6 linked regions of the Kluyveromyces lactis genome follow. The protein of the gene in region 6 purifies or fractionates together with the protein of the main gene of each other region. This does not show direct contact. Links are inferred from orthologs where the notes say so. Each region holds a gene or a part of one and is shown on either strand. Other genes may lie near its edges.

Region 1 (4,522 bases), on a different chromosome or scaffold from region 6:
TTTTCCGCGTCATCTGCTGGTAATCACCACGACCAATATAGTAATAAGGAAAAGACATTTGACAGATCAACTTTGCAAATTCGTAAGTCGATGATTATTGGTGAAAGCACAGAGATACAGGAAGTGCCTTGTCTTGAGAAAGAATATGTAAAACAGAAGGCTGAACCTATTTCCGCGTTGCCATATAAGCCATCTTTTGCTTCTGAAAAGGATCCCAAACAACCCCTGTTGATCACTGAAGAGTATTTGAATATTTTGAAACAAAATATGATGTTGATGCAAGAGCTACAATTGGTTTCCACGGAATTAGCCGAGTCTATCGCAAGGGAAGGTAGATTAGAAAGTGAATTAGAATCAAAGAATCCGAAGGAACCAGAGTCACCTCAGGCTCTTTCTCTACTGGATTTCGAAACGGAATTAAGGAAAAAATCGTCAAAGATTGTTGAGTTGATTCAAAATTTGAACGAAGAAAGGCTCAAACGTTTCATTGCAGAAGAACAGAATTTATTATACCAACATGGTATAAAGCCATCTCCTAACGAACTCGCCCTTCAAATAAATGAGCTGAAGACGCAACTGCAGTCCAAAGATCTACTGATAGAACAGTTGCAGAAGCAAGTACATGATTCTTGAAGCAAAATGAAAAGAATCCATGTATGGTTCGTTCCGATTTTGAAGGTCTCGTTATTTCTGCGATTTCTTTTCCAGTCAAGCATATACCTATATAATTTGGGAAATATACATATATATGTTAAAAAACGTTGAAAACACATTGTTATCTAATTATGGTAATCTACAGGCTGTGAAACCCTGACATTCGTAAGCTTTAACAATTTCAACTATGTACCTGTTGGCCTAAGTATCGAATGGCATTGATTGTCTGGTCGTCTCCATAACAAGAATTCAAAATGAAAATTGAAAAAAAATTAAAATATATGAAAACACGAATTCATAACGTTACAATCAAGATTTTGCCAACTGATATCAGTATTATATCCAACAATACGCCATCAAGTACCCGAGAGATGTCAAAAAGAGGTTTTGGTATGTTTAATTTATGTCACCATTCAAGACGTTAGAGTTTTGCATTGTTTTTTGAAGGTTCTATCCATCTCTGACGTATTGTTATATCAGATTTAAGTTTTCCCTTAGTACAACTGACAGCGACGTCAGCAAAGAGAGACAGATGACAGACGGTTCCAAGATTGCCACAAAACACACATCTAGACTAGAGAGACATCCCATCGACAATCGGTATAAATACTTCAAGTTTTCGGTATGATTTACTCTGAATAATATCGAAGAAGTTTCGTTAAAAGTAGTCGGTTGGTTGACACTTTGGTTTAGAACTCAGAGAGAAAGCAATAGTATCAGATATATATCTGAGACTTACATTAACGTTTTCCAAGGAAAAGCATATAATTACTAACAACTGTTTCTGAAACACAATGATTCTTGTAGATTATGAAGAAGAGAGTGGTTATCGTGAAGCGAGGCCACATTTTGCCAAAAGGCAAAGGCTGCCACCCGTTGTCATGCTTTGTAAGGACATGATGCCTGATATCAGGACCATGGGTGAATCGGCCAAGGCTTTTCCAGAAGATATCAAGTTCCTAAGTGAGGCCATTGTTCATGAATTCGGTAATGACGAGTATTTCAACAACGCACTTTTGAAAACTTTCAGAGCAGTTATCTTGGAACAACCTCATAAGCAACCAGGTATTGCTCTTTTAACCATGGTGCTAAATTCAGCTAAACCAGAAATTGGTAAAAGTATTTTGAATTATTTCTTTGACCAAATTCAAGAGTTACTTAATTCAAGTCATGACCCCGACTACCAAACCAAATCTCATGATATTGGACCATGGGATAAAATTAAGTTAGTACTCAGATTTATCTCCATTCTATCGCCAATGGTGGTACCAGATGATTTGCTTGACTTGTACAAGAAATTATTGCAGTTTACCGTCGATTTAAACAATTCCACGGAGAAAAGATCCCCACTTTCTGAAGCCATCTATACCAACACCTTGTTGAACGTTCCATATTTGTTCTACTTCAACTCGGATAATCGTGAATCGTTAAAAACTTTAGTTGAGGAGTTACTCACTTTTGTCGAAAACGAATATAACATTAAAGATACTGATATTCAATTGCTCAAAGCATACAATAAGAACCCACCATATGAACCAGTTCATTGGGTTACTGCTGTCTTGCCAAATGTCAAGAACGCATTGGCAAACGATATGCAACAACTAGGCGAGCTTTTCCTGAATTATGACACCTTATTGACCCAACAAATAGCAATTCATTCTTTTAATGAGCCGTTGAATCTACCAACTTTAGAACAAATTATTCCATTTTCAGGTTTAGACAAAGGCTTCGGTTCAGTCGATAGTCTATGGAAAACTCCAAGATATTCATTCGAGGTTTACTTACCGAACAGTGTGGGTCCATTTTCTACCGTGATACCAACTACCACCTTCACAGGTATGTTATTTCAAGATATTCTTCTTGATATAATCGAAAGTATGGAGTTCAATAGACTTGAAGTTGCGAGACAATTAGTAACGATTGATCTTTTCTTCACTGCGGGTATTTTCACTGAACCGGGCCTTCCTGTCGCCCAACTCTTGGAACAATTTGAAGAAAACCCAGCAAGAAGTACTTTCAAAATCGAAGATTTAGCCGTTGGTGCCATCTTAGAATTAACTTTTAAATTACCTACTGTTTCTCAATCTTTTGCCTATTTCTATTCTCTTTTGGTAGAAATTTGCAAGAACTCGCCAAAAGCTATTGCTCCTGTTTTCGGTAGAGCTTTCAGATATTTCTATAACAATTTGGATAAACTAGACTTCGAGTTAAAAGCTAGGTTCCTAGATTGGTTCTCAATTCAAATGAGTAACTTCAATTTCTCATGGAAATGGAATGAGTGGGAAGTTGATTCCATTCAGTGGAATAGAACTATTTACAATCCAAGAATGATATTCATTAAGAATTTGATCAGAAAGGAATTAAGATTAACGTCCAATTCTGCTGATGTTGAAGAAAGTGTTACTGATGAATTCCAAAAATTCATGGATCCATCTTTCATCAAGAGAGAAGATCTTGTTAACTATTACTCCTCTCTTTTCAAAGATTTCCAATTGGATGAAGGCGATCTTCGTAACAATGAGCTATATTTCAGATCTCCATCTTTCCCATTCCATGAAAACGTAACTCAACTTTTGGATTTCTTCCACAAGCAACCTGACACCAGATCTGTTGCAGAGTTGGAGGGTATTCTCAAGGACATTGCTGTAAACCATGGGTCAATTATTGAAGATTTCAATAGATTTACTGTGACTCTTCTGATTCAAACCATTGTTTTCTGTGGTAGTAGATCTCTCTCCCATGCAAACAAATATATTGATGATTCGAGAGAAGAGTTGAAAGCAATTATGGCACAGGTAGAGGTGTCGCCGCAAATTAAAGATCAATGGATTTGTGAGGCGGTTGTCAGATACTGGAATAGTAACTCTCAAACTGGTTACTTGATTTTGGACTCTTTGAGATATAATGGTCTAATTTCAAATGAATCAGTTTTAAACTTTTCTTTGACCGAACAGTGTGGAGTAAACATGAGTCTCGTCGACTCTACTTCTATTGAGTCTATTTTCAGAATTTTGAATGAGCTGGCTATGGCTGCTGACAAAGATGTTGGTTCTTTTGAGTATGTCTTCAACAGGTTGGTGGGTGCTGCTAACGAGGTATTGTCGCAATTGAACACTATTGATCCAATTGTTGTTCCAGATCTTGATCAAGACATTCAGGCAACAGACGAAGAGTTACCATCATTAGACCTTGCGTGGAAATACGAAGCAATTATGGGTTTCTTAAAGAGTGTGCTCAGAAAATACTCGGATGAGTTTAGCGTTCTGACGGAAAAGTTCATCAATGATGTATTACAAGGCGTGCCACATGAACCCACCAAGCAACAATTGAACAGATGGATTTCGGAAGTTTCAGAATTATGAGCGTGAACCAGAACTACTTGCCAGCTTATATCCAGGTATATTGATTTCGAATTGACATCAAAGTTCTCGATACGATGGGTTGTTTGCTAATGATACCCTCCTAGTCATGTTCTCTTTTTTGATGCCTTTCTGCATCGTTGTGTATTATATAAGATAAGAGTCGTTGTTGTTTATAATTATTAAGTCCAAAAGCTTTAATTAATAAGTTACAGAAACTGTCCGGTATTTTAATCATCTATGTATGACGGTATTGTAAGTGTCTACTCTAGTGAGCATGTCATGATATCTTTGTTGGTCTTCCACAGATTCTGGTGGTTCTGCAGACTCATCTATATCGTAACTGAAGTTACTGGAGCGAGAGCCCACATGTGATGCAGGGGTTGTATTATGCATGAAGGCGTCAGACGGGTAAGGTCGTAAATATGGAGTTGAGAATTCGGAGTCCGTTCTAGATCTGGCATCAGTGTCATAATCTTCAGTAGGAACGTGAAGAAATTGGGATGGGA
Region 2 (4,241 bases), on a different chromosome or scaffold from region 6:
TTTCCACACTTTGATCTTGGAAGAGCCATCTAGAGAAACAGATATTAATGACGAGGTTATTATAAGTTTGTTAGGATCCATAGGCCAGAACCTTAGGAAGTTGTCGCTCAATAGATGCACTGGCTTGACTGATAGCTGTATAATTAATGGATTTTTACCATTTTTGTCTAACTCAGGGCAATCAATCCTTACAGACTTGGAATTAGAAGAATTGGATCAGATAACCACCGACGGCATAGTTCTATTATTCTCTTCGTTGCAGTTCCCTTTGTTGAAAAGATGTAGCTTGAAAAGATGTTTTGCTTTGGAGGATGCAGCCGTAGTTGAATTATTACTTAACTCCTCTTCCACCTTAGAAGAGTTGAATCTAAATGGTCTGAAATCCCTAACATCCAAAACTTTCACCTTCATGGCATGTCCTAACCTCAAGCAGCTAAATATAGGGTTTGTCCACTGTGTGGATAATGAAATTGTGGAAAAGATATCCAAGGACAATGAAAAGCTCACTATTATTGAAGTTTATGGTGATAATCAAGTCACAGGCAAATGCTCTCCTCGGAATGGTGTAAGCATTATCGGAAGGCAAAGTGACAGTATATAAATGATTAAAAAAATTCTAGGATCATGAAAATGCTTGAGTGTGAGAATGCCCTTTCAGCTACTACTTTAAATAATCTATAGACATGTAATCATCAAATTTAGGTTTCTGATGGATCTTTTCTAAATTTCTAAAAGTAGGCAAAGGTGCTGGATTGAGCTGCTTCGATGCAAGCGTCTCTATTATAGTATTTTTAATTTGAGGCTTATCAATGAACAATCCAGGATGACCGTTCGATCTATACTTTTCTGATTTATACCAGTCCTTGGTTAGCTTGGCGTTCGGCCTCCATGTTGGGTTGTTGATTTTGAACCTATTGTGAACTATTGGGTCAAACCCAAAACGGGATTGCGATAAATTGGTTTCGTACTCGGAATAATCTGCATTGATTAGATAAAACCCTTGGAAATCTCGTACGATATCATTGATAACTTTTGTTGGTAATACGATCTCAGTGCCTAATTGATCGACAAACTTTGTTAATCTGGCGATATTTTTTTGAGTCTTTTCAAACTTGTAGTAAGTCAACCAAAATAAGACTGAAGTCTTGATCGGATCCAATTTGGCGAAGTATGTAAAGTGTTTCCTGCATTGAATGACGTTCTTCAATACCAGCCAATGCACTTTTATTAGTTCAACTACCAGTATCGGAAGAGTAGTGTCATTTAGCATGGCAAGCAACTGCTGGGAAATGTCGTGATTTTCCGTATCTGCATTCCCTGATAGGTACGCCTTGATAGTTTTATCCAAAAATGTAGCATATTTACTCTGTTGTTCCAAGATCTTTTTGTCTTCATCATTCAAAGATGCTGCAAAATATCTTCTCTTGTGAAACCTTAAATATTTAATAGTTGAACTTGGATCATGTGGCCATTTAAGCTGGAACGTGTATAGAGCGTCCATATAGTGTTTGGAAGATAATTTATTATATGGATCCATATTACTTTCCAAATATTTGATGTATTTTTGCTTGAAAGATTTATTATCAGCAGGAAGAGCCCGGAGTGCTCTTTCAAACAAGGGGAACGTACATTCGGGACCAAAAGTCCTTTCAGTCCAGTCAATATAGGCTCCCCAGAAATATTCGTATCTTAAACATGGAATCAAACATCTCTCAAACGTCGATTTTATTAATTCTGTACTGAACTCAGTGTTGTTGATTAAGAAAGATAGATAAGCATCCCAATTCTGAATCTCATTCTCGGGAAGCTCAGGGATATTGAAAAATGGCTGTTTTATTTGTGATTCATATGTCCATATTTTGTTCACCTTCTCCTGGTTAGAAATAAATGTGGTATCCAAATGGATGCTTGATTCCCTATTAGCAAACTCTGGGTGATATTCCAAGAATTCCTTAAAGCTGGTGTAGTATCTTGCATATTGATGCAAAGGTTGCTGCATGACTTGTTTGTACACCTCAAATACGTTTTCCCAGTTCTGTAGTCTTGTTTCATATGCAATGTGCTTATCCCAAATATCGTGCGAGAGGAAATGAGATCCCACGAGGGATTCGCATTTCCTGAACTGGTTTCGTATCAGTTCACTATCATTCTGATTATGTGTTAGATAAACGTTCAACATATCAATCCAAAGATCTATCGACGTAGGGAACGAATGTAAAGATGCCTTTAAAGTAGAAATAGACCCTTCTAATCCATCTAGCTGATATTTCACCGCAACGTATCGTTTCCAGTAACCAAAAAATAACGGATACCTTCCCAATAACTCATCAAAAACTTTATATATATTGCTCTTCACATGTTCATTGGGATTATTGTATTTCTGTACCAATGCTTCTGTACCAACCACCAGTTTGTCGATAGTAGTTATATCGTTCCAGTCAACAGAATTATAACTCTGCACCCATTCATCGTTATTCTTCAGAAAAGTTTGGTCTAATCCTTCAAACATTTCATAAAATCCCTAGTTTCCTTCTTAAATTTGATATGCAAACCCCTGCTGCCGACTTCACACTCAAAACGGCTCACGGATAGCAGCTAAAGGCTCTTGTTCTGTTTGGTGGCATCATGCATCTTTAACAGAGATTTATCTTAAAGAATTACAATAATACGGTTCTTTGCAATTTTGAATCATTTTGGAAGCATGAAAGAAAAACAAACAGAGATAAACGCGCCTAAATGAGTGTTTAAAAGGTAATTATTAACTTAGTCGAATTCTGGGAATCTCAGTGTTTTATAGGAGTGCTCGAAATGCAGAATTGGCGTCTCAACAGCGGTTTAAACAGCAATTAATATAGTATCACGTCTCACGAATATGATTATTTTGTTTAAGGTTAATAGATACATCAATGACGGAAGCATTAAAGGTATGTTCGAGATGTAAACAAAGGAATAAACAAGGGAAAAGACCAGGGACAATCTTCGATTATCGATGTCTATACGTCCAGTTGTACTGGATGATGTCGGAGAAACATCATTTGAAGATGTTGAAAGCACATTTACTTATAAAGATGATATAGAGGTACCGAGATTGGCACCTAATTCAGCTACATCCACAACTACGGAAAATACCACATTCTCTAAGGATAAGAGGTATTCATCACACACGGAACTGGCGAGCGATCTTGATGATGATATGAACTATAACAGTGATTTTGAAGAGTACCAAAATGGTACAGACCTACCTCTTGCTGTGGATAGACGATTTAGGGAAAGTTCGGATCAGGACGAGCTAGCTGATTTGCAAGAACAACTGGAGAAGAAGCTATCATTGAACCTGAGAAATTCTAAGACCGGTGGTGGTAGTGGTACTAGAAATGTGGATCAATATATAAACCATGCGGGACTAGTGCGGCCATCGTTGAAGGATTCGGTACGACAGCGTAGATCGATGGTCGATTTGGCAACCCGTAGTAAAGGTAATATTACAAGCTTGAATTCACAGCAATCGCGTCGAGTACCGAACAGCAGGTCTTATATGAACCTTAGACCCAGTTCTGGTCGAACTCTCAGTTATAAGTCATCTATGCCATCGTTAATGAGGTTCAACCGTCAAGATGTGTTACTTGAGGACGAAGATGACGAAGATGACGATGAAGATGAAGATGATGAACCCTATCCATATGTGCCCAGAGTTAGAAGGAGTTACAGGGATCTTGGACCAAGGTTTGGTGAAAGAACTGATGACGGTAACGTTGTCCAAGACATTGCTGTTGAGGCTACAGAAATGGCTAATAATGGAGACGACGATGACGATAATTTCGGTAATGATTTTGAAGGAATTGACGATAACTTCCAGTTCGCTACTAATAACAACAATAACTTTTCAGCATTTGATCCAACATTACGTTTATCACCCTCAGAGTATGATATCGAACATGATGACACTTTATTAACACCACAGCTGCATAAGAAGCATTATGCGTTCGACGCTCCGTTGGATTCGTATAGGGAAGCTCGTCAACAACGGGGTACGGCAAAACAGGCCGCTGCTGCTGCTGCTGTTAACAGACGTAATTCTACAAGAGCTCGTGCTCGTTTAAAGACAATAAGACAAGAAATTGATCTCAACACGCCGTTGAAAAGAGGTAAGATGAAATACAACCCAAGGGAGAAACGATGGGATGGTAATGAGGATATTTTAAGCAGTTTCGATAACATTGAAAATGTCGATCGGAAAGCGT
Region 3 (3,347 bases), on a different chromosome or scaffold from region 6:
AAGAACATGATTACTGGTACTTCTCAAGCTGACTGTGCTATCTTGATTATTGCTGGTGGTGTCGGTGAATTCGAAGCCGGTATCTCCAAGGATGGTCAAACCAGAGAACACGCTTTGTTGGCTTTCACCTTGGGTGTTAGACAATTGATTGTTGCTGTTAACAAGATGGATTCCGTTAAGTGGGATGAATCTCGTTTCCAAGAAATTGTCAAGGAAACCTCTAACTTCATCAAGAAGGTCGGTTACAACCCAAAGACTGTTCCATTCGTCCCAATCTCTGGTTGGAACGGTGACAACATGATTGAAGCCACCACCAATGCTTCATGGTACAAGGGTTGGGAAAAGGAAACCAAGTCCGGTGTCGTCAAGGGTAAGACCTTGTTGGAAGCTATTGACGCTATCGAACCACCATCCAGACCAACTGACAAGCCATTGAGATTGCCATTGCAAGATGTCTACAAGATTGGTGGTATCGGAACTGTGCCAGTCGGTAGAGTCGAAACCGGTGTTATCAAGCCAGGTATGATTGTTACCTTCGCCCCAGCCGGTGTTACTACTGAAGTTAAGTCCGTCGAAATGCACCACGAACAATTGGAAGAAGGTCTACCAGGTGACAACGTCGGTTTCAACGTCAAGAACGTTTCCGTTAAGGAAATCAGAAGAGGTAACGTCTGTGGTGACTCCAAGAACGATCCACCAAAGGCTGCTGCTTCTTTCAACGCCACTGTTATCGTCTTGAACCATCCAGGTCAAATCTCTGCTGGTTACTCTCCAGTTTTGGATTGTCACACTGCTCACATTGCTTGTAAGTTCGACGAATTGTTGGAAAAGAACGACAGAAGATCCGGTAAGAAGTTGGAAGACTCTCCAAAGTTCTTGAAGTCCGGTGATGCTGCTTTGGTTAAGTTCGTTCCATCTAAGCCAATGTGTGTTGAAGCCTTCTCTGACTACCCACCTCTAGGTAGATTCGCTGTCAGAGACATGAGACAAACCGTCGCTGTCGGTGTTATCAAGTCCGTTGACAAGACTGACAAGGCCGGTAAGGTCACCAAGGCCGCTGTCAAGGCTGGTAAGAAATAAGTTTAACTTGATACTACTAGATTTTTTCTCTTCATTTATAAAATTTTTGGTTATAATTGAAGCTTTAGAAGTATGAAAAAATCCTTTTTTTTCATTCTTTGCAACCAAAATAAGAAGCTTCTTTTATTCATTGAAATGATGAATATAAACCTAACAAAAGAAAAAGACTCGAATATCAAACATTAAAAAAAAATAAAAGAGGTTATCTGTTTTCCCATTTAGTTGGAGTTTGCATTTTCTAATAGATAGAACTCTCAATTAATGTGGATTTAGTTTCTCTGTTCGTTTTTTTTTGTTTTGTTCTCACTGTATTTACATTTCTATTTAGTATTTAGTTATTCATATAATCTTAACTTAACGTAACAACAACTTTCATTGTCAACAAATTTACTAATACTAATACGTATGGACTATTTGTTAATAGGTTGTGATATCCTTCTCTATTAGGTTATTACACATGCCATACAAAGCTAGTATCTATCGGCAAGCAATGGTCAGTACCTTATATCTGTCGAATCTACCGTCGAGGCCCGACTCATTGTCCAAATTCAGAGCCTTACTACTATCAAGTGTTAATTCAGATCATCGTTCTATTTCAAATGATGTTAGTACAAGATTCGATCTGAACTCGAAGAAAGAAACTAGTGAGGCTGATGCGGTTACACCAGTACTCGATGAAAAGTATCAGATCATAGAGGTATCAAGGTATGGCTCAAGACCCTTGAGGAGGTCTTGTTTCGTCACTTTTAAGGACTCAGACAGTTGTAATACGTTCCTTATAGAATTTCAAGGCAAGCTCAAGATTAATGGGAGAAAGATAAATATAAAGCTGGCGAATACGGATTCTTTCGCAGCTTTGTACTACCAGGGACAACAGAAACAGCTACAGGATGAACTTCGGTTACGTACACGTAAAGCTGTGGATAATTCACAGCCCAAGACCAAGACAAAAAACGAAGTGTTGAAAAGAAGGTTAAGAAGAGCTAGAAGTAAGCTTAGAAAGAAGGATTTGGACGAAGAAACCATACAGAAGCTTCTTTCAAAGCCCAGAAAAACAAATCCTGAAGGTACCAACAAGACTGCTATGTCACAGCAGTCGGAGAAAGTTTCCTCCACTAAAAAAGTCTTTGACATTGTCGGAAATCCCCCTCACCATGTCCTATTGGTTCAAAATCTTCCAAAAGATGTTACTCAGCAAGAATTGGAAAAGTTATTTGTCTCAGATGGATTTAAAGAGGTTAGATTGGTCAGTGTCAGAAATCTTTGCTTTGTTGAATATGATTCTACAGCAAATGCCACTAAAGTTGTTGAAACCTTAGGTCATGATCATCCATTCAAGAATGTAACGATAAAGATTGGATACGCCAAGAAATGATTCTACATTTCAATGCGAATCAATAAATTCAAAGCGTTCACAGGTCGGAACTGGAACCAACAATCTACGCTTTAATAGTACATTTATCAGCAACAGATAAACAGAATAAATAGAATAGATTGAATATAAATTATTTACAGTCAGTGTATGGAGGCCTGTACAGTACAGATACACTAGAAACGAAAAAGACAGAAATGATATATACATATATGCATACGAAGCTCTAAAACCCTGAAACCGAAATTACTTACCAAATACGACAGTTCTCATAGCTGTAAAGAAAGTTTCCTTACCCTTACCTTCGATTTCGTCATGCAATCTTTTGTAATAAATTGGGTTACCTGCTGGCTTGTATAATTTGTCCCCTACAGCATAATAATTCTTATATTTATCGCTCATTATAGCATTCAACGATCTTATCTGTTCTTGGATTTGAGTATCGTTGAAATGTTCTTCTGGTAAAGCCTCTTGAACTTTCTTTAATAGATCTTTCTTCAAACCTAATGGGCCAGAAGTTCTGTTGATAATATCCTTAATCTCTGCAAGAGAAGGCTTACTTTGCTCAGAGGCACTACCGGTTTCTATTCCGGCAACTGGACGGAACCTATCTAGTTGTGACTCTTTGAATGAAATGAGATGCTTAACACGCTCCTTAGGGAACTTCTCTAACAGCTTCACTAATTGCTTAGCACTTTCTTTTGTTGCTTGCGACATCTTTGTTTTGTATCTGTGCTAATATGGATTGTAACTCGCTAGTTTAGATAGAGTCTTTGCTGGCATGACACAACCGTATCTACCGTCAGATATGCAAACCAACTTTCTTGTCATTATATCGATTCAATCCAAAATTTTCGTTTTTTCTTGATGCTCTAAGTCAGAGGATGAAATTAAA
Region 4 (3,998 bases), about 280 kb from region 6:
AAGAGCATGGCTTGTACGTAAACCAAACTGAACCAGTGAAACAAGTTATCGGTAACAAGGATTGAGTGTGACACTAATTGTTCTAATCACATATTCTCCTTCTCCTTTCTAGACTCCTCCCTGGTCAGACTCACGTGATGTCTTTAACTCGAAGATAATATACACACAAATTGTAACAGTTTTTAGTTAGTTGAAATCCTTTTTATAATAGAAGTTCTTAATCAACAATAGTATTTGTCGTCTAGCGAAAGTTGCGCATGCTGTTATCCTTTGATCTAGCTCCGTAACGATGACTGCTGCAGACAGATGGAAGGATTATGCCTGTGTAACATCCCTTTTCGTGGCTGTTGCATCGTTATACTATGCATATAAGGTTAAGACAACTACATTAACTGCTCTATCACCACCAAAGGATGGAGTGGAAGACTTGATAGGAAATACACCAATGGTAAGAATTAAATCTCTTTCCGATTATACTGGTTTGAACGTTTTTGCCAAAATGGAGTTAAATAATCCAGGTGGTAGCGCAAAGGACAGAGTTGCCTTGAATATTATCAAAACCATCTCATCGCAGGAAGGTATTAAGGGTTCAAGTGATAAGAAAAATAGAATCTTTGAAGGAACAAGCGGATCTACAGGTATATCCCTTGCAATATGTTGTAACGCGTTGGGTTACTCATGCCATATCTCGCTACCGGACGATACAAGCCAAGAGAAACTTTCTCTTTTAACTGCACTTGGTGCAATAGTGAACAAGGTAAAACCTGCTAGTATAGTGGATCCGAACCAATACGTAAATGCAGCTAAGTCGTGTTCAGAAGAGTACACTGAGGGTGTTGGTGTATTTGCAGATCAATTCGAGAACGAGGCCAATTGGAAATGCCATTACGAAACGACAGGACCTGAAATTTATCTACAATTAAATGGGGAAGTGGATGCATTCATCACGGGATGCGGTACTGGTGGTACCATGGCCGGTGTTTCTCGTTATCTAAAGGAGAAAAGAGGTGACAAAGTACATATTGTGTTGGCTGATCCGCAAGGCTCGGGTTTCTACAATAGAATCAAATACGGTGTCATGTACGATAACGTAGAGAAAGAAGGAACAAGAAGAAGACATCAAGTGGACACATTAGTGGAAGGAATTGGTCTTAACAGAATTACAAACAACTTTCTGAAAGCGGAAAATTATATAGATGATTCCATCAGAATTACAGACGAGGAAGCTATTAAGATGGCCAAATTCTTATGTGTAAATGACGGATTATTCGTTGGTGCCAGTACTGCAATCAATGCAGTCGCAGTGCTGAAATATGCGGAAAACTTACCGAAGGGTTCAAATGTTTGCATCATTGCATGTGACAGTGGCTCTAGACATTTAAGCAAGTTCTGGAAAGAGGCCCTGCAGGTGAGTAACGATCTTTCAATTTCAGATATCATATAAATAACGTACAGTGTGTTTAACTTTGGTCTTTTGTAAATATCAATTAATTGGAAAAATCTTGAAATATATATATCGAGAGAGTAGACGTAAAGTTTCAGCGATGAGTTAGCAAATAAACGCTGATACTACTAGGCCGAACGTGTTTAACTCACTAATGGATACTGTATTGTTTGTGTCGCCCACATTATACTGCTGTGGAGACACGAAGAACTGGCAATCACAGGTGCCGAAGCCAGGATATGTGCCGATTTTGAAGAGTGATATCCCCAAATTTGAACAGTCGTTGAAACAAGCCAACAGCCATAGAGACCATGATAAAGGGAATTCAGTAGCCTCGAAGACTAATGAAACGGACAATTCTGATGAATTCAAGACTTCAACTTCACGCTATGTTGATTTGAAGTCCTTTTTACCAATTTCGTTAGAACAACAGTTGCATACCGTTTGTTTAGCACATTTTCCACTGGGACTTGGATCCAAGGGTATTGATAAAGTTATGGACAGACTAGACAATCTAATACGGAAAAAGCTGCAAGTTGAAGATAATGAGACCAAATTTATCAAACAATGGAGTTACGTCGATTGTGTGAATACGTTGACGGTATATATAAGTTTCCAGGAAAGTATAGTGGAAGAATATGGGAAAGCGATACAGTTACTTGAGAAATTGTTTGACAACGGGTCAGATGGGATCGGACTTCACATGGATGAAAACACTAGACGGTTCGTTTGCGATCTGACGGAAGGTTCTCCTGCTAAGGAACTCGATGAAACTGCAAAAGATGAGTTCTCCGCATTAATTACAATGTTGAGATCTGAACCAGGCTCTATATCTCAGGAGAAAGGGTTGGCTGGAAATAGTGCCGTTGAGTATAACGTGGATATAAGTACGTTGAGTGACCTTCCGAGTTCCTCATTAGACCAATTGTGTAAGGATATTGTTGAGTTTAGAACTCGTGTCATTACGTTAGAGAAAGAGAAACGGAATAAAGAGCTAGCGGAGGAAGAAAAACGGAGGAAACAAAACTTGAAGCATATATTTGACCGTATCAAGGTTACTAATGGAGGCTCGGAAAAAGGTTCAGCCCCTGAAGCTGAAAGTGACTCTGAAGATTCAGACGACGAGGTTGAGGGTTACGATGATGAAGATGCGGACGATTACGAAGCGGAAAAAAAAAGAGTTCAAGCGGAAAGAGATGCGCAAGAAGCCCAGTATGAATCCATGGTTCATAGTTTCCAAGATTCGTTACTGGTCCAATACTCATCGCTACGACAAGAATACCAAAGGTTACAAAACTACGAAACGCATTTACAAAAGAACAAAGGTCCTATGTTAAAAGAGTTATTACATCTTGCCATGGATCCTTACCACGACCATCACAGGCCATACAAGGAATCTGAATCCAAGGCAGATGAAGAGGACCGTAAACGGGAATCTGAAGAAGTACCAAAGAAAAAAGCAACAGAAACAGAGCCAGAGACAGAACTAGAGCTAGAGCTAGAGCCAGAGACAGAGACAGAGACAAAATTGGTATCGGACGCAGATGCGACAACGGCTGCACCAAAGATTAAATTAGCACTAAAGAAATCCATTGGAAAGACAAAGAATGAGATAGAAGAGGAAGAGACTCCTGAAACCGATGCGTTCCAACAGAAGTTGAATCTACTAAGGGAAAGCGGCGTAGTGGAAGAACTCGTCAAAGAATACTTGGGAGTTTACGAGCCCGACTTAGTCTCATATATCTTTGAAAACATCGAAGAACATCAATCGAAACAGGCACTCGAGACTGAGCTTACAGAGACGTTCGACGAAGATAGCCCTGTCCTAGTGAGCCGTATATGGGAAGCGATGGAACAGTAGTGGAATATACCATACATGTGAATATACATATATATGTATATGTAGGTATGTGTGTCACATGTCTAATAATGAGATTCTATTACCCGGTTACGTCTCACGTGACTGTCACGAAATTTTTTCGCCCGATTCGAGTGTTCCAGCCAGATCGGGCGGTAACATGAGGTTACTAGAGGTCCGGGTAATCGTGTTTCATATTGATTCGCGTTTTGTATATCGTATATAGCGATACATTCTCAACTTCACCAATTTTTTACCAGATCCAGAACGGTTACAGGAAGAATTGGCAGGATGAGATAAACAAAGGAACAAACATAGAGATTCTATTACTTGTAACTTATGTACACACCTGATAATGGTGGAATTTAGTTTCTGTTTTCGTTCGGGTTGCTTTAGGCAAAAGATAATAAGTTTTTAGATTCGAGATTTATCGTCAGGGTCAAACTTTTCAACAAAGAACGTTACCAGTGGTAATATTTTGGTGTATACATCTTTCTTTTCTTTGTGTTCCTCCATTCATTCATTTATTGATTCATCTCAAATTACTTATAAGTTTTTTATACATTTGATAAGAAGGATCTATTAGAGGTTTTTAATAAAGAAAGATTATCAGAACTGACCTACTGATCCAAATTACCTTCCAATCCTCAGTCTTTAGGAAACTGCCATCGTTTGTTTAGTGAGCTTATACTTTGA
Region 5 (3,239 bases), about 620 kb from region 6:
CTCTTTGGGATTGAAGGAGAACATCTAGCCAAAATCGAAGCAACTTTGCTCAAACGAGATGGATTCAAACCCTTCGTTGACATCAACAATCTCGCAGATGGGACAGACATGTTTTCTTCTTCTTCTTCTTCTTCTTCTTCTTCTTCTTCTTCTTCTTCTTCTTTATCTAATCAAAATCCTTTAAAGAAGATAAAACAGTTGGCTTGGCTCACTATCACTGAAAAGGCAGGTATCAACACTTTCCTGCAAACCCTTTAATTTGTCCTGCAGATGGATAGAGCTGGTCTTAACTTCGATTAGACAATAATGCTGTTCAGTACTTTACGAGTTAACTCATACTTTAGATACCTAATGGAAATACTTAGCGAATGGGAAACTGAAAACGGTTTTCTTTATATGTGCGATTCGCTGAGTTGCCATTTTTTTTTTTTTTTTTGTTTGACTGGAATAATTTTTTCCATCGTTATTTTGGAATCAGTCATCGATCAAGAAATTACTCATGCATACAGAGGTAGTGGTTCAGTTATGCTTGGCCAGTGGGCACAATGTAGGAGAACTGCGTAGATATGAGAACAGAGGTAGAAATGGTAGGAAGTACATATAACATTTAGCCATGGCTCATCTGTATGGCTACTTATATGAATATATATGAAAATGTATATAGATCACTGCAGCAGTTCTGATCACGTGCTATTTGATGTGTCTTTTTATCTCATCTCAATACATCAATGTGTCTGTAGAACCATTGGAAGTATCATTGCGAGATCTGTCCCTCCTTGATCGGTAGCTAGAACTTGCAGTTTTTTGGAAATTTGATGCAGGTGAGGATATTGGACTAGTTGGTTGATAAGAATGGGAATGCCCTTGTGGAGGACCTCTTCTTTCGAAGGTATCGTGTCTTCTGATGGGTCTTCTAGCATGTTCATGCATCGGTCTTGTTGAAGCACCAGTTAATTTATTTACGAGATCTTTCCTTTGGTAACCTCGTCCTCCTAATCCTCCACCTAGACGTCGAGGTTTGAAGAATTTCACCGTTCTGCCTCTTTCTATATCAACGATGGATGTTCGGCCCATGATTTCTATTCCCTTCCTTACACCAAGCTCTCTGAAACACTGTTTGGAGTCTTCATAACTGGTAAACTGCACAAAACCGTATCCTCGGCTCTTACCGTCTTGGTCTCTTACTATTCTGCACGATTCAATGTCGCCGTATTTGACGAAACTCTTCTGTAGTTCAACTTCGTCTACGGCATAGTGTAACCGTCCGACAAATAATGTGCGGTAGGGGTCACTAGAAATGTTTGCATCTGATTCAGGGTGCCACTCTTGTATTTTCTTCATCAACTCCTCCTGTTCTTTGTGCGATTCGTTCATGGCTTCATCATATACTTTCAAGTGTTGGTTCTCTGATACGGGATGGGTTGCCTTCTTATACTCTGAAACATGTTGCAACACGGCTGATACACCAGTGAGTGCATATTTCTTGTTCTGGTTTCGCCTTACTCTCACTCTCGATGGTGGTAATGGTGGACCTTGTGTAAATAACTTTGATACTGAAGACGGAAGTTTGGTCAAAGTGTGAAAGCCATTATGCCTGTTGTATTTCCTCGTTTGTGGTTTCATCTATTAATTGGAATGGATATGTGCCAATATTATCTTTATTGATGCGCTTACCGCAGTATCGAGGTTAAGGTGTATGCGCTGAGGTAAAGTGTATGTAATTATATTCCATATTTTTGGCGCATCTTTACTATTTAGATGTTAAATGTTACAATTTTCACATAATTGATGGAAAAACCTTAAAAAGAGTGTGTCAAAATATGTATTTTAATGTGAATGCCTTTGACAGAAAGAAGAACCCAGAAAGACAGTAGATTACAAGGTCTGATTTGGAAAAATGAAATTGAAACAGTTGTTTATCTAACAACCTGGAACGGTTTATATTGAAAAATAAATGAATGTACATGAATATATATATTTATTTATATGCTAACTTCGTAAAAGAAATATTATTGGAATCATACTGAGTACTGATTATACGGCAGCAGTCTGTTTCTTACCGTGAATTAATTGATTTAGTAGATCGGAAGAATTGCTTTGTGGCTGGCTCATAACTTGCTGCGCCATGCCTTGCTGCGCCATGCCTTGTTGGGCTTGTAGTTGCATTTGCAGTGAAAGCTGTTGTTGCTGTTGCTGTAATTGCTGTTGCTGTAGCTGCTGCTTCTGCTGTTGTACTAATTGTGGTTGCTGGACAGCAATTCCCGGTGGTAACATGGTAGGTGTAGCCTTGTTTTGAATGAATGGCAGAAGAGAGGACATGTGGTCCACAGGTTTTATAGTAAGCAAATCACATAGTTTGGCACCCAAGACACCTTCAGATTGCTCACTACATCCAATCTTCTCAAATGAAAAAAGTGATGGGTAACTTTGATATGTTTCGTCATCCAATAAGTTGGAGTTGAATGTGTAGCTTCTTTCAGGAATATCTGATAAAAACTTAAAAGTTTGATCTAGGAACTTAACACATGTTGCCATTGGATCGTAAGGATCCTCGTATGTCTTTTCGCCCTTCTTCTTCGAACTTACGTTAGAAGAAGAGTTTGCTGTTGGGGCAGATCCAGTGGTCGTAGGAGTGCCTGGACCTGGACTGTTCAGAGTTTCCCCCAAGGAGCTTGACAACGTAGGGAAAGTGGTAGAAGTAGAAGTCTTGTTGAAAATAGTAGAAACTGGTGTGGGTGCTTGAGATATACCCCATGGGTTTGAACCAGATGGAACTGGAGCTGGTGTTAGCACAGGAGCGGTTTGCTTCGAGCTTGAAGTTGCAGCTGCTGGCACAGTAGAGTCATCTGTTCTCAATGAAGCATGAGCAAGCTTTGGCGTAGAGCTTGCACTTGTAGACGGTTTAGCAAGTGTAGGTGGTGCATGTGAGTGATGGGCATGTTCCTTCCTGGCATTGTTGAAAGCATCCGCTTCTTCCCCTGGTTCATGTAAAAACATACAGTTCGGATTTGGACATGGTTGTCCCCTCAAATACGAGGAGCAGTACTTTGTTGTACCATATGCTGCTTTCACTTGATGTCCATCAATATAGATACCATCTATGGCTTGAATACATTTTGCTGCATCGTCTTTTCTGGAAAAAGTAACGTAAATACCGTAACCTGAATTTATATGACTCGATGAATTTGAAACAGAATGGTGCTCGTGTCCAGTCTTCTTATTGATGACGATCTTGTTAA
Region 6 (3,757 bases):
AGGGACTCAGCTTTAAAAGTGAAAGATAACATCGTACATTCATTAAAGTGTTGTACTGGGTTTTAGTTATATATTAAGCTATCATAATGGAATCTAAAGAAACTGTTCGTATTGGTGGCAGACGTTCGAAGTTGGCTGTTGTTCAGTCTGAGCAAGTCAAAGTCATGATTGAGTCGAAATTTTCCCATATCGAATGTCCACTTCTATCTGTACACACTCTTGGCGACCAAGTTCAGTCTAAGCCCTTGTATTCTTTTGGTGGGAAGGCTGTGTGGACGAAAGAACTAGAAGATTTATTGTACAAAGATGATGAATCTCGTATCGATCTGATTGTTCATTCATTGAAAGATATGCCAACTCTTCTACCTGATGGATTCGAATTAGGCGGTATCACGAAACGTGTAGATCCTACAGATGCTCTAGTCATGCCAATTGGTTCTCCGTACAGTAGCTTGTCAGAGTTGCCTGACGGCTCGGTGGTCGGAACTTCATCAGTAAGAAGATCTGCTCAATTAAAGAGAAAATTTCCAAACCTGAAATTCGAAAGTATCAGAGGTAATATTCAAACCAGGCTGGCGAAATTAGATGATCCAGAGACTCCTTACAAATGTATCGTTTTGGCCAGTGCCGGCCTAATGAGAAGTGGACTTGATTCTAGAATTACCCAGCGTTTTAATGCTGACACAATGTGCTACGCAGTCGGTCAAGGTGCGCTTGGTATTGAAATCAGAAAAGATGACGAGAAGATGAAAAAAATTCTAAAAGAAATTTGTGATCCTTCGACGACTATCTGCTGTCTAGCCGAGCGTTCTTTACTCAGAACTCTAGAAGGTGGTTGCTCAGTTCCAATTGGTGTTGTATCCAACTACGACGAAAGTACAAAAGTGTTAACCTTAAAAGGTATTGTTATCAACGTCGAAGGTACTGAATGGGTAGAAATCGAACATAAGGTCACCATTTCTAACGAAAGGGAAGATAGTATAAATTGTGGTAAAGAACTTGCTGCTAAACTAACCCAAAATGGTGCCAAAGAGATCTTAGACTCTATCAATCTTGACAAAATCACTTAATGACGAACATTCCTTCTAAAACACGAGAGTGGAAGAAAATTGAATGGGCATGAACTCTCGGCATTCAATATAAACACCCTTTTCCCTTGCCTTATAATTCACTTATTAATGTCTTCTCTTGTTTCCGTTTACGCTTTTAATTTTATCCTGATGTATGAATTTGCATATTTACTTATTCAAATAATGTTTAATCATAGAAAAAACATGCACTTAATTAAGACCCTTTTTGCATAAAACAAACCTATATATATACTGCGATGAAGCAATGAATTGGAATGAGTTCCGAACAAAGATCTCTTTGCCATGTCAGTTGTAGGTCTGTTCAATTATTTCTTTGTTTATAGATGCAAAATAGAAAAATGACCATTATCAAGAACATGAAATATATACACGTAGTTTAACTCATGAGCCAACATAACAAAGTAGAGCACGCAGCTAAACGCACTGAAATCATCGTTGCTCTGCCAGTACTGTGAAAAAGGAAATGGAAGATGATCTTAATCTATTAGGTGATCAAAAGCTATCTGAATTCAGTCTCTTAATATGCAAATATCCAAAAAGTTTGCACCATTGGGAGAATCTTTTGAATCATTTATTGCTGAAGGCATCACCTATCTCAAAATCTATTAATAAAGACCTTCTTCAGCTAGTACGATCGACATATGAATCATTACTCTACCAGTTCCCCTTTTTGGAGAATTATCATGTCGAATACGGACTATTGGAGTATAAACTAGGGAATTTTGGTAAGTTTCACGCTATATTCGAGAATGCTCTTCAGTATTTCAACAATAGGTCATTGTTAATATGGGTAGAATACTTGAAGATCTGCAATAAAATTATGCCCAGTGATAAGCAACTTTTCCAAAAATATGCCTTTGCGGAATCCTACATTGGATTGCATTTCTTCGGTGCTGAATTTTGGCACATGTATCTTAACGAAATAAAACTGCGATGCAAGACACCGCAACATTACATTCGAACGTTAAGAAAAGTGATAGAAATACCGTTATATGAATATTCCAGTTTTTATGATTTGTGGCTACAAACCATTGAAGATGTTAAAGATCTTTCACAATTAAGGTTCTATGCGGAAGATAAAGAGCTATGGAAAAAGTTGAAGATAGACACACAATTGAATGGTCGCAGAGGCCCACATTTGCAAGTCGCCAAGAAAGCTTTGAAGAAAGTTTCTAAAGAGTTATTCCTTGTCGTACAGTATGAAGTTATGGAGATATATGAATTGTTTGAAAGTAAGATCACCAAAAGATACTACATGTCTGCGGAAGAACTTATTCCACACCAGGAAATCATCGTCTGGACGAAATATTTCGAATATATCAGGGAAAAGAAAATTTCAGACCTAATCAAGCTTCAGTTTCAGCGATCTGTGCTCCCTTTAGCTCATTATGACCATATATGGTTGCAGTACGCCAACTATTTAATTGATGATTTGAACGATTTCATTGGTGCCAAAAACGTGATGTTACAGGCTTTATCCTACGTTCACAAGCGTTCCAGGATTGTCACAATGTTATCCTCGGTTCTCATTAGATTAGGGCAGATTTCAGAACTCCATCAATTATATGATGATATTTCACTCGCATTCTCAAATGATCTAACTACTTCCGATGATTTCGAAATATTCATTGACTACATACAATTCAACTTGTTCTTGAGTTCTGCCAATTCAAAAAGTCGCTTCAGTGGTTTAACAAACAACATCGAATTCTCCGACAATTTACTGGATGTATTGATGAAAAAGGCAAGTAAAGAAGATGATCATAACAGACAATACATTTTATTGAACATGGTAAATGAAATGTACGAGCGTTTTCCGCGTGCTTTAGTTGAAACTAAAGTTTATCAACACATAATCAATAGCAAATGGAAATCGTTCCTGGAAAATCCAAAGTTCTGGTACCTTTATTGTTCTCTAGTATGGTACGATAATAATATCACCTATTTAAAGAGGCGGAAGCATATTATAAATGATATCATTCCATCTGCTGCAAAGTATGGTAAGGCTGTTTTGTCTGAAGTAGAATTGTTTATTTCAAACTACTTGCCAGATGATATGGAACTCTTTACTGAAGCCTACACAAATCAGGGACAGATGAAAGTTCCTATTTAATTAGTTTATGTCTACAAGTTCACTTATTCAATTCAAAATAGACGTTTATAGTAGTGATAATTCCATATAGGAATAAGAGTAAACAGCCAACTCTCTTGTCTAACTTCCAATTATTTAGGGGGACCACAAAAATAAATATGCCAAACGCTATGACTATGCCGATACAATTGAAGACTAGTCCACGATTAACATCGAAATCTATGTGCCTACTCCATATTGCTGTACCTTCAGGGTATTCCCTCTGAAGAAGGACGAGCATGCCATCTACACCAACACCAAATAGGAAATATAGTAGAGGGCTACCAAAACAGGAACCCAATGCAATCTCCAATACTCCAATTCTGGTGAATGTGACATTAGAGACCAAATCACCAATAGAATTTCCCCACGCAAAAACTGTCAAACCAAGTATAGCTTCTGAGAGATTGAACGTCTCCGCCCAATTCGTTAAAATGTCAAGCACCAACCCAACAACAAATGATATGGAAGAAATTGAAAGAACAAATCCAAATAAAGAGATATATTTTTCCTTGACCGTTAGTTTCCATTTGAA

The links.
Region 1: the proteins of PRP42 (region 6) and STO1 purify together in Saccharomyces cerevisiae (affinity purification with mass spectrometry; 4 studies listed by BioGRID). This does not show direct contact. The link is inferred for Kluyveromyces lactis from reciprocal best matches to the Saccharomyces cerevisiae genes PRP42 and STO1.
Region 2: the proteins of PRP42 (region 6) and PRP39 purify together in Saccharomyces cerevisiae (affinity purification with mass spectrometry, with the first as the bait; 3 studies listed by BioGRID). This does not show direct contact. The link is inferred for Kluyveromyces lactis from reciprocal best matches to the Saccharomyces cerevisiae genes PRP42 and PRP39.
Region 3: the proteins of PRP42 (region 6) and MUD1 purify together in Saccharomyces cerevisiae (affinity purification with mass spectrometry; 6 studies listed by BioGRID, with this or other methods). This does not show direct contact. The link is inferred for Kluyveromyces lactis from reciprocal best matches to the Saccharomyces cerevisiae genes PRP42 and MUD1.
Region 4: the proteins of PRP42 (region 6) and SNU71 purify together in Saccharomyces cerevisiae (affinity purification with mass spectrometry; 6 studies listed by BioGRID). This does not show direct contact. The link is inferred for Kluyveromyces lactis from reciprocal best matches to the Saccharomyces cerevisiae genes PRP42 and SNU71.
Region 5: the proteins of PRP42 (region 6) and SNP1 purify together in Saccharomyces cerevisiae (affinity purification with mass spectrometry; 4 studies listed by BioGRID). This does not show direct contact. The link is inferred for Kluyveromyces lactis from reciprocal best matches to the Saccharomyces cerevisiae genes PRP42 and SNP1.

What each region holds. Positions count from the first base shown.
Region 1 is NC_006042.1:1,605,950-1,610,471, reverse strand, and holds STO1 (Sto1p), read left to right. Parts: upstream 1-1,448; coding exon 1,449-4,016; downstream 4,017-4,522. Other genes in the region: KLLA0_F17545g (uncharacterized protein), read left to right, coding at 1-633; DLT1 (Dlt1p), read right to left, coding at 4,248-4,522. UniProt on the Saccharomyces cerevisiae protein: Component of the CBC complex, which binds co-transcriptionally to the 5'-cap of pre-mRNAs and is involved in maturation, export and degradation of nuclear mRNAs.
Region 2 is NC_006037.1:712,358-716,598, forward strand, and holds PRP39 (Prp39p), read right to left. Parts: upstream 2,510-4,241; coding exon 662-2,509; downstream 1-661. Other genes in the region: UV-damaged DNA-binding protein RAD7, read left to right, coding at 1-601; BFA1 (Bfa1p), read left to right, coding at 2,990-4,241. UniProt on the Saccharomyces cerevisiae protein: Function prior to stable branch point recognition by the U1 snRNP particle to facilitate or stabilize the U1 snRNP/5'-splice site interaction. Has a direct role in the assembly or function of a catalytically active spliceosome.
Region 3 is NC_006038.1:785,230-788,576, reverse strand, and holds MUD1 (Mud1p), read left to right. Parts: upstream 1-1,537; coding exon 1,538-2,455; downstream 2,456-3,347. Other genes in the region: TEF2 (translation elongation factor EF-1 alpha), read left to right, coding at 1-1,080; CBP6 (Cbp6p), read right to left, coding at 2,699-3,169. UniProt on the Saccharomyces cerevisiae protein: Involved in nuclear mRNA splicing. The principal role of the U1A is to help fold or maintain U1 RNA in an active configuration. It is the first snRNP to interact with pre-mRNA.
Region 4 is NC_006039.1:1,599,275-1,603,272, reverse strand, and holds SNU71 (Snu71p), read left to right. Parts: upstream 1-1,598; coding exon 1,599-3,305; downstream 3,306-3,998. Other genes in the region: nicotinamide-nucleotide adenylyltransferase NMA2, read left to right, coding at 1-65; MCY1 (putative cysteine synthase), read left to right, coding at 290-1,444. UniProt on the Saccharomyces cerevisiae protein: Component of the U1 snRNP particle, which recognizes and binds the 5'-splice site of pre-mRNA. Together with other non-snRNP factors, U1 snRNP forms the spliceosomal commitment complex, that targets pre-mRNA to the splicing pathway.
Region 5 is NC_006039.1:703,482-706,720, forward strand, and holds SNP1 (U1 snRNP complex subunit SNP1), read right to left. Parts: upstream 1,624-3,239; coding exon 718-1,623; downstream 1-717. Other genes in the region: ARG56 (bifunctional acetylglutamate kinase/N-acetyl-gamma-glutamyl-phosphate reductase), read right to left, coding at 1-110; CCR4-NOT core ubiquitin-protein ligase subunit MOT2, read right to left, coding at 2,035-3,239. UniProt on the Saccharomyces cerevisiae protein: Involved in nuclear mRNA splicing.
Region 6 is NC_006039.1:1,319,140-1,322,896, forward strand, and holds PRP42 (mRNA splicing protein PRP42), read left to right. Parts: upstream 1-1,554; coding exon 1,555-3,204; downstream 3,205-3,757. Other genes in the region: HEM3 (hydroxymethylbilane synthase), read left to right, coding at 87-1,070; YCX1 (Ycx1p), read right to left, coding at 3,224-3,757. UniProt on the Saccharomyces cerevisiae protein: Essential component of the U1 snRNP particle, which recognizes and binds the 5'-splice site of pre-mRNA. Together with other non-snRNP factors, U1 snRNP forms the spliceosomal commitment complex, that targets pre-mRNA to the splicing pathway.